2 linked regions of the Rattus norvegicus genome follow. The protein of the gene in region 2 interacts with the protein of the main gene of each other region in a biochemical or structural test. Links are inferred from orthologs where the notes say so. Each region holds a gene or a part of one and is shown on either strand. Other genes may lie near its edges. The genes, in order: Cabp1 and Itpr1.

The links.
Region 1: the proteins of Itpr1 (region 2) and Cabp1 form a complex in vitro, tested with the Homo sapiens proteins (2 studies listed by BioGRID). The link is inferred for Rattus norvegicus from reciprocal best matches to the Homo sapiens genes ITPR1 and CABP1.

Annotation. Positions count from the first base shown.
Region 1 is NC_086030.1:47,083,895-47,088,341, reverse strand, and holds the start of Cabp1 (calcium-binding protein 1), read right to left. Parts: upstream 3,051-4,447; 5' UTR 2,988-3,050; coding exon 2,394-2,987; intron 1-2,393. UniProt on the Homo sapiens protein: Modulates calcium-dependent activity of inositol 1,4,5-triphosphate receptors (ITPRs). Inhibits agonist-induced intracellular calcium signaling.
Region 2 is NC_086022.1:142,741,784-142,746,360, reverse strand, and holds the start of Itpr1 (inositol 1,4,5-trisphosphate receptor type 1), read right to left. Parts: upstream 2,922-4,577; 5' UTR 2,770-2,921; intron 1,921-2,769; 5' UTR 1,851-1,920; intron 1-1,850. UniProt on the Homo sapiens protein: Inositol 1,4,5-trisphosphate-gated calcium channel that, upon inositol 1,4,5-trisphosphate binding, mediates calcium release from the endoplasmic reticulum (ER).

The sequences.
Region 1 (4,447 bases), on a different chromosome or scaffold from region 2:
CCCACTTTCCCCAGTGTGGAGAGTCTATCTGGATAGCTCTACTATGCCCAATCCTGCCTAGCTCGCTCTGCTGCTACTACAAGCAGAAGGAAGGCGACCTTATAGTTAATTGGTATCAGCAACACGGACATAGACACAGCCCTGGCTTGGTGGCACACAGTGGACCCAGCTTTATACAGGGGCCTGCGTAAATCGTTTAACTTCCCAAATTCTCCTTGAGACACTATAATTCATCTCTCTCTCTTTTTTCCCCCCAAATAAATAAAAGCCCAGATGAGATAATGGTTCAAAAAAAAAAAAGGTCAAAAAATGGATAAATAAGTTAACGGCCTGAACAAAATACACTCTGCCCTAAGTGGGTCCACCCGGAACTTTCTGCATTCAGGACCCCACCTTGCCTTCTTAAGTCTCCACCCTGTCTCTAAGGACAGAATGTTCAATGCAAGACAGAGATAGCAAGGAAAGACTACTTCCTCCTGGTCAAAGGAGACCGGAGGCTCTTGACACAAATCCCCCCCAGCTGGGTTTGTCGTCTTGATCCCTTAGAGGAGTCACAGGAAACTCAAACTGAATGTGCTTGGGGGGAGGGGTAGCGGGGGGGGGGCAGAAAGTCTTCGGCTCTGAGAGGCAAGAGCTTCCAGAGGGAGGTAGTAAATATTTCATGGGACCTTCCAACTCCTCGTGACTCAAGTGACCCTGTGACATTTCAGAACCTGGGGCTGGAGAATAGTCTCCACTTAATGGCTGAGCGGTTGGAGGAGGTGAGGAGCAGACGGTCGAAAGGCTCTGAGCTCAGACTGGGGCCTCTGCAGGCAAATGCTGCAAGGGTGGGGAAGCAACGGTCCTTCCCCCACCCCGCTCCCAGATCGATAGCAAGTTGAATAATCAGCCTGTGACTGGGCACCTTCCAAACTGCTGGGTCAAAAGCTCCAAAACAGCCCAGATCTTGACTACCCCCCTGCTCCCTTCCTAGTGGACCACCAATGCCTGGAGAAAGTGGGCGTTCAAGAAATGCTTGGTAACTGAGTGAATCAAAATTCCCCACTCACGACACAGCGTTTGGGTGACAACCCAGTCCAGACCCATAGATCGCTCCTAACATGCTTCCGCTCCTTGGAACACACAAACCACTGCAGTGAGCATCTTCCCTGGCACGGAGCCAGGCTCTGGCTCGCAGGGCTCTGCGTCCAAACCTCTACTCCTGAGCACCGCTAACAGGGCTCCCTGCAGGAACAAAGCCTTGTGCGGCTGGCCCCATCACACCATCCCAGCAGTCCCGTGCAACCCGAATCCACGTGCAGCTGCCTTCATGACAGAGCTCCACCTGCATTAGCCACTGCAGAGTAGTATTTTTGAAAAGAAGTGAGCAGATCTGAAGCAAAACACACGCGGCCTCCTTGTAGTACTGATCCCGCACAGCAAGCCGGGAGCTTGAGGTGGTTATCTTTGCCTTAGATCCTGCCACAGAAACGCTTAGACCCCCTGCGTCTAAAACCATGCCAGCCAGCATTCTGCAGTTCAGCGCCTCTGCTGAACTGCCTCCCTCCGTGAGTTCGATTCAATTACAGGCTCGGAACTAGAGGAAATCTTGGCTTCGCTCAGAAGTTCAAGGGTTCCTGTCTCCCCTGCGACACAACCCCCCACTGTAGCCTTGAGCTGTTTGTAAACGCCTGGCTGACTGGAGTCCTTGCGGGCAAAGGCGTGCGAGGAACAAAAACGAGTCGCCGGTGACCTCTTAGTGGCCTTCCTGACCCTAGACACAAGAACTCAGGCTTACATTTTCTCGGTCTTATCCCACAATTGCCTAACTGTCATCCAGATGGCATCCCTGGAATACCACCTTTCCTAAAACATTCTCAAGTTCCAGATAGAGCCGTAGCCCTGGGCAGACCCTTCATGCCTGCCCAGACATCTCTTCTCCTCCCCATTTTTCCAATCCCCTAACTTTCTCCAGACCTTTGAAGACACTCTAAGTCACGGCTATTAGAAATTCATATGCAAACAACTCAGCGGACTCCCAGGTCCTCCCCTCTGCCGCTCAGACTGCAAGCCCTTCGCTCCTTTGGGTCGCCAGAGGCCAGAGGAGCGGGTTGGCGCCGCCTGCTCCAAGCGCTGCTCACGACCCCGGAAAATCTCCGGGGAGGATTGCGGAGGTCGCTCCTGCAGGTGCGAGGCAGGCTCGGCTGAGCAGAGCTCAGGAAGAGGCCCGGAGTGTGGACAGCGCACAGGGTGCTGAATCAGACACGGGGGTGGCGGAGTGCCAGGGCCGCGGGAGGACAGGATGAGCCGAGGTGCGCCCCGACTGGGCAGAGCGAGCAGGGCCGGGGACGCGCCGCCGCCGTAGGGTCCCGAGCGCCGGTGCCCCGAGCGCGGGCGAGGGGCGCGGCCCTTACCTGACCGAAGGCGGAGCTGAGCATGGGGCGCAGCTGGTGGAGGAACGGGTCCGCCTCGGGGGTGCCAGCGGGAGCCGGGTCCCCGCGACCCCGCGATCGCAGGGAGCCCCGTAGACTGAGAGCCGGCGCCAGCCCCCGTTCCTCCCCATCGCGCCCGCGGGCCGGCGGTAGCGTCTCCCGGGGCCTGCAGTGCGCCTGGGGCAGCCCACGCCGGCTCCCGCGCGCGCCCTCGTCCCGCGGCACCGGCCGGCACAGGGGCCTCCGCGAGCTGGGGTCCCCGCACGTTGCAGGCGAGTCGGGGCAGGGACCGGGCAGCCTGCGGCCACGCAGCCCGGGGTCCCGCGCAGAGCTGTGGCGGGGAGCCCGGCTGCCCCCGCTCGCCGCCGCCGCCTTGAGCAGCGACGTCTTGGACTCGCTCTTGGCGATGTGCGAGCTCATCGCGGCGGGGCCCGCGCTCGCATGGCCCGGCGGGGGTGGCGCGGGGCCCCCGGAGGGCAGGGAGCGGGGCGCCCGGCGGGAGCCGAGCCCGAGGACGCGCTGCAGGCGGGCGCCGTCCCCTGGCCGCTTAAATGCGGCCCCGTCGCCGCCGCCCATGTGACAGCGCAGCCTCTGCGCCCGGAGCCTCGAGCTCCCGGCGGCCGGCGCTGCGGATCTGGGGGGGCAGCCTGCTGTCCCCCGAGAGCCCACCCCCGGCTCTCCCGCGGCCCAGGTGCCGCCGCGCCCCGCCCCTCGCCCCGCCCCGCGCTCAGGGAGTCCCGCTTCCGGGCGCCTCTGGTGGCCAAGGGGGCGCTGCGGCACTGAACAGGAGCACGAGGGAAGGGGCTGGCTAACCTCCCCCAAGGAGACTGGCGGAGCCCCTTATCATTCCCGGAGGATCCCTCAGTGCCCCGGATTGGCCGGTCGCCCCCAAAGTCAAGCAAGGGTGAACTTTCCAGAGAGAACAACTTTGGCCATAGGACCAAAGGGGTGCAGGACGCTAGAGGATCAGCCAGGAGGCAGGCACTCTGTGACACCACCCAGACAAACGCAGGAACCAGATGACCTGGAAGGATAAAGCTAGGAGTGTACCTATGCCGCTTTCATCCGCCTTCCACACAGTGTAATCGGGACTAGGATTGCCCAGGCAAGCCAGCCACAGAATTTACAGTTGACCCAAGAGGAGCCAGGTGGCGTCTGGCTGCAGCTACCTGTCCTGGAAGTTCGTGGTGGTGGTCAAATTCCAGGTAGGACCTACTTGCTATGCTTCTTTCTCTGTCCAACCACCTCCTGCCCTTCTAGCTGTAGAGAGACTCCTGCCCTTGGTAGGCAGCCAGGAAGTCACACTGGGCTGGTTTCAATCTTAAATCCCAGCTCTGCGGCTTGCCCCATCTGGGTAGCTTGGGCAAGTGTCATCACCCTCCCTGAGCCTGTTTCCTCTCTTCTGTGAAGCGCAAATGATTCTTTCAAACTAATTTCGGGGTGACATCAGAAGACACGGTGCACACGAAAGACCCGAGCGGGAGCTGGGACAGGGCGCCCATGCGGTGAGCAGCCTCTATCTGGTCTGTACCTCCTGAGGCCCTTGTACCAAGGTGCTAAGTAGTAGGGGAGTTAAGATTTGGAGGTGAGGACCTCTGTGTTCTAGACTCTGCCCATGCTCCGTCCCTACATCCTGCTCACTGCTTAGCCTCTTTAGGATCGATGGTCAGACTCCCAAAAGAACGCGGGCTTCGAGGAGGACCCTCTTTTCTGCATGGACACGTGCAAGAAAGGTGGATTGGGATGTGGTGGCACAGGCCCGCAATCCCAGCAGGATTGCTACGACCTGGAGGCCAGCTTGGGCTTCGGAGTAAGAACCTGTTTAAATATTTTGACTCTTGAGGAAAAAAAAAAAAAAGAAAGAAAAAGAAAACCTGGGTGTGGTGGCTCGTGCCTGTGCACGCAAGCACGCACGCACGCACGCACGCACACACACACACACACACACACACGCGCGCACACGTCTGTAATCCCTTGGGAGTTACAAACAGGAGGATGAGAATAAAGAGTTCTAGGCCAGGCTGGGCTACGTGAGA
Region 2 (4,577 bases):
ATGGGATTTTCTGTTTCGAATTGATGTAGTCAAGGAGCAAATTATACGTTCAATGTATACTCATAACATGCATACATCCACATGACTGAAGAAGAAATGGAGAAGAAAAACACTGCATACAACTAGCAACCAGGCAAACCAGAGACCACAGGACAAGCTACCAACATTCCACAGGTTGAACTGAAGCAGTTTAAGATTTCCAATTATTCAGCTAGAGACACACCTGACTCTTTCAACCTGCTCAGGTGCCTTGATGGGAATGACCAAAAGCTACTCCAACTATGAGCCAGGACTAACACTGCACGTAGACACTGGGTTTCCTCTGGTTTTCCTTCTTAACTGTCCTGATTCAAGCTTTCAAAACACACACACACACACACACACACACACACACACACACACACACACACACACACACACAGAGCTTTTCTAACATGAATTCAGCCCAACATTAAATCCTCCTACAAATAACTACATTCTTTTATCCCTGCCAAGGGCTGTATCATTTCCTTCTTACATCAAACTAAATAGCTGGTACATTGTTGGTGAGACATAAATCAGAGTTAAGGCATTAAGAGCAATGGGTTCACTATTTTTCCTAGCATCTCTCTCTCTCTCTCCCCATAAACTTAAGCACAAGTGGTACACATTACTGCCTGGGCTGCCCAGTGACTTCATTCTGAATCTCGGTTTCTTCACCCGTATCTAAGGTCTTCTGTGATATACAGCTTTGCACCTGGCTTGCTCTAACCTAATGGGACAGCCTCATTATTTTTAGGCAAAAGATAGAGAAGAGTCTGTGGACCAGTTAACGGTGTCTGTAGCATACTTCAAAGAGAAGACTGACCCCTCTTTGATCAACACAGACATTAGTCCATAGGAGAACTAGCCTTCCCATCCAAATGTTTCCCACTCCACCAGTACTCCTGAGGACCTTATCAACAGGAAACAAAAGCACTGTGCTACCATAATGAAGTATCTGGCTTTCATTCACTAATTAGAAAAGCCCAAAGATTGTAGCCCAGGGAACAGCTAAATATTTAGGACATTAAAGAAGTTACCAAGGACCAGCTGCCCACAGCTCCCCACTCCTATTAACCTGTTGTTTACTCAATTACCAGACATTTTAGAAGAAAAAACTTGATAGACAAACCTGAAACCATAGGGGCGTCTGTGTACCTACAGAGAGAGGCTTTATTTTCTAGGAATGGGCTGTGATAAATGTCATTATATTGACAGAAACACTGCCCTCAGCCCCTCATCCGGGAACAGGTACCAAAGCAAGAGAAGCACGCTGGGTTCCTTGATATGCAGGTGGCTCCTGTGAAATCCTGGAAGCTACAGTGGTATTCTTTAAGCTCTTACTTCCTGTTAAGTTCTCATTCTTTCAATTTGTCGCTTTCATTTCTTGCAACCCAGCCCACTCTGGTTACGTGGTGAAAGCCCACGACAGAACAGAACCAAGTGACAGTTTGTGAAAGGGAGGAGTATCTCACTTTTGCTTAGGGATCTTGGCAAACGAAAAGTTCTGCATCTTTGGGAGTCTAAATAATGAGGGTGCCTTTCAGGCTGGTAAGGGACCACCCACTTTACAATCTACCGCAATTTACTGCTTGTTGCTGTTGCTTACCCACCACCCCTTTACCCCCATGCTTCGATTCTAAGCAACCTTCAAAAGTAGCTGTCACTGGATCTTTACTCAAGACCATGACCAATTTTGACCACAGTTTCTTTCTCTTCCCTACTCTACCTCTATGTACGTTACAAGCGGAGTTACAAAATGCTTAGGACAAAACAAACAAACAAACAAACAAACATTCTTGACTACAGAACTCAGCTCCCACACTCACCTGACCCAGGTCAGGCACTCTGTAGCCAATGGACTCCCAGCCAAGGATGCAAATCCTTTGTAGTCAGCTCCTAAATATTTACAAAGAAAGAAGACTGAGTATGGGATCTTGCGACGGTCTATCAGAATGTTCCCAAAGACAGGTTTCGACTTTTTTAGTCTCCGTTCGCTTTTCCTGCAGATCCCACTCCCCACCTCCAAATTTAGCAGTCAAGTTGGAGGGATCTCTTGCCCCCAGATAAAAGCAACCCCAGCATGCTTATTTCCCGTCCGGAGCTGACCAGAAAGATCAGGCACGCAGAAACTTCGAATACGATGGGGGGGTGGGGGGAAGAGACTGTGGACGAAAGGAAGTGTTGAGATCCCAAAGCACTTGTTTCCCCGCGTGGAGGCCAAGTATGTGAAACCCGCGTCCTCATTGGGCACGAGCTCCGTCCACACTTCTCTCATCGCTCCCGCCCCTGCTTCCTCCGGTTTTCTTCCTTTTTTTTTAAACCCACGGGGGCCCCCACGCATGCATTATCCTACCAGCCAAGCAGCGCAACAGGGCTAGCTACATTTTTAGAAAGATTATTTCCTTGAGCAAACTCATATGACACCCCCTCAAATACCCCCCCAGGGGGGAAAACTATTTCCTGCAAACACTCCAGCCGTTTCCAACTTGGGGGAATGCCATTTCAGTACGGGGAAGGAGGTTGAAGCCGGTCACTAGAGTCGAGGACATTTGGGGTTACTTAAGCCTGAAAAAAAAAATCAGACCGCCTCCCAAAACTGCTCGCAGGGAAAGAAGCCCCAAAATACACGCCAAGTGCATAAGTGCATGCAAAGCCACCAAGAACTCCCAGTGATCAGGGCAAAAACTTCAGCGCACGGGAGCCAGTGCCAACTCCCCGAGCCCTCTGCCCGGCCCCAGCAGCTACCTTGGTGACCGGGGAGCCACGCCGGTTTGAGGGATCAGGACCAGGACAGGGGTTAGCAGCCGCTGGGCAATCCCATGTCCGCGAAGAGGGAGCTCGTTCCGTTAGGATGGGAGCGGAACACCCACACCTCCTCTCGGCGTGCGCTTTCTCTCTCTCCACCCCCTGCCTCCACCTCCTCCACCACCACCTCCTCCTCCTCTCCTCCCACCCCGGCAGGCTTGAGGAAACGCTTCAGCAGAACATCCACATGGTTACTGCACTTTGAAGCAGCTCCCGGCCGCTTATATAGGCCCGGAAGCTCCCTGGGCAATGTAGTCCGATTCCCAGGTCCTGCCGGCGCCTGGGGCTGCGCAGAAGGACTACAAGTCCCAGAATGCCCTGGGCTCTGGGGCTGGGTTCTAAATAGACTCCCGCGCACTGACCAGGGTCGGGGGAGGGGCGCCGAGCGGGAAGGCTGGGGCTGCGAACCTGTGTCTAAGCAGCGAACTCCCCAGGTTTGGCAAGCCCGATCCACAGGGTGTCCCTTACCCCTGTGAACCCTTCTCTTTTGACTGTCCCTTTTCTAAAGTCAGGTGTCACTAGGGGCCAGAGAGAGAGGAAGAGCTCGGATTACTACTTTGGGAAGTTTTTACAAGCTGTTTACCCACCCCCGCGCGTCCTGTGTCCTGGAGCCAAGAATTTCAGAAATCCGAGGCACAAAAACGCCAGTGTTTTGCGGTCAAGGATTAAAGAAGCAAGTTTGTCTTTATTAAATCTGTTCCAGTTCTTTATTGGATCCTGCTAGTGTCTGCATGAAAAGTCTGGCAATGAGGTGGTCCCTGCTATCGAGGATGCGGGGTAATCGTGTGAAAGCCCTTTTCTGAATCCGAGCTGTGTCTGTCTTTCGTCGCCCGGTGGGAGGTAAAAGGAACGCAACCCTTTCGAGTGAGCAAATAAAGGAACCATGTTGTGACTTGGCTGATGTTGTGATCGCGAAGCAGGAAAGAAATACAAACCGCGACCTGGTCCTGACCCCGCTTCTAGGACCCCTTTGCTCCTGGAATCTGTAAATGCTCAAGTAAATAAACCGCAAACCAGAAAAATAAGGGCTTCAGAGAAAGCGGCTATACTAAGATGTGTGCGTCCAGGCGAGGTGTGCTGCAAGTCTTCAACCCAAGCCTCTGGGCTGAAATGGGTTTCAACACACCACAAATAAGTGTAGGCTCCAGCCTGCAAAGTGCTTAGAACTTTGGCTTTTGAAAGAAGAGTTTGAATCGCAGGCAAAGTTATCCCACTGTCTCCCTCCGCATCCCACCTCCCACCCCCCACCCCGCCCAAACCAGACTGCAAGTATTCATTCCACAAACGTTCCCCGGTGTCATCTGGGTGCCAGGCCAGGCATGGTGCCAGGATATGAGAGTGCGCCAAAGTATATCATAACATCCTAAATGGGGTCTGTCTGCTACCGCTAAAGACCTACTAACAGCAGTCCTTGTTATGAAAACAAATGGTTCTACAGAGCTCAGCCCATGTCCTCTTTCTGTACATCATGCTATTGTGTTTTACCGATTCTGGGTTTGTTATCTCTGCGCAGTAGAAACCAGGTTAACTTCCGGTCTCCATTGCAACTCCAACCTGTACCTATACCGAGGACTTGCCCTTCAGGACCTCCATCACCCCTTCCTTAAAGGACCCCCTCCTTCCATTTCAGGAGCAGCCTATAAGCCCTTCGGCAAACCACTGTCATCTCTGTACCCCAGTTTTGCCATCTAGAGAGGGATTTGATACTCATTAGGATACGCCTGTTCTTTTTTCCTTTGCATGATTCA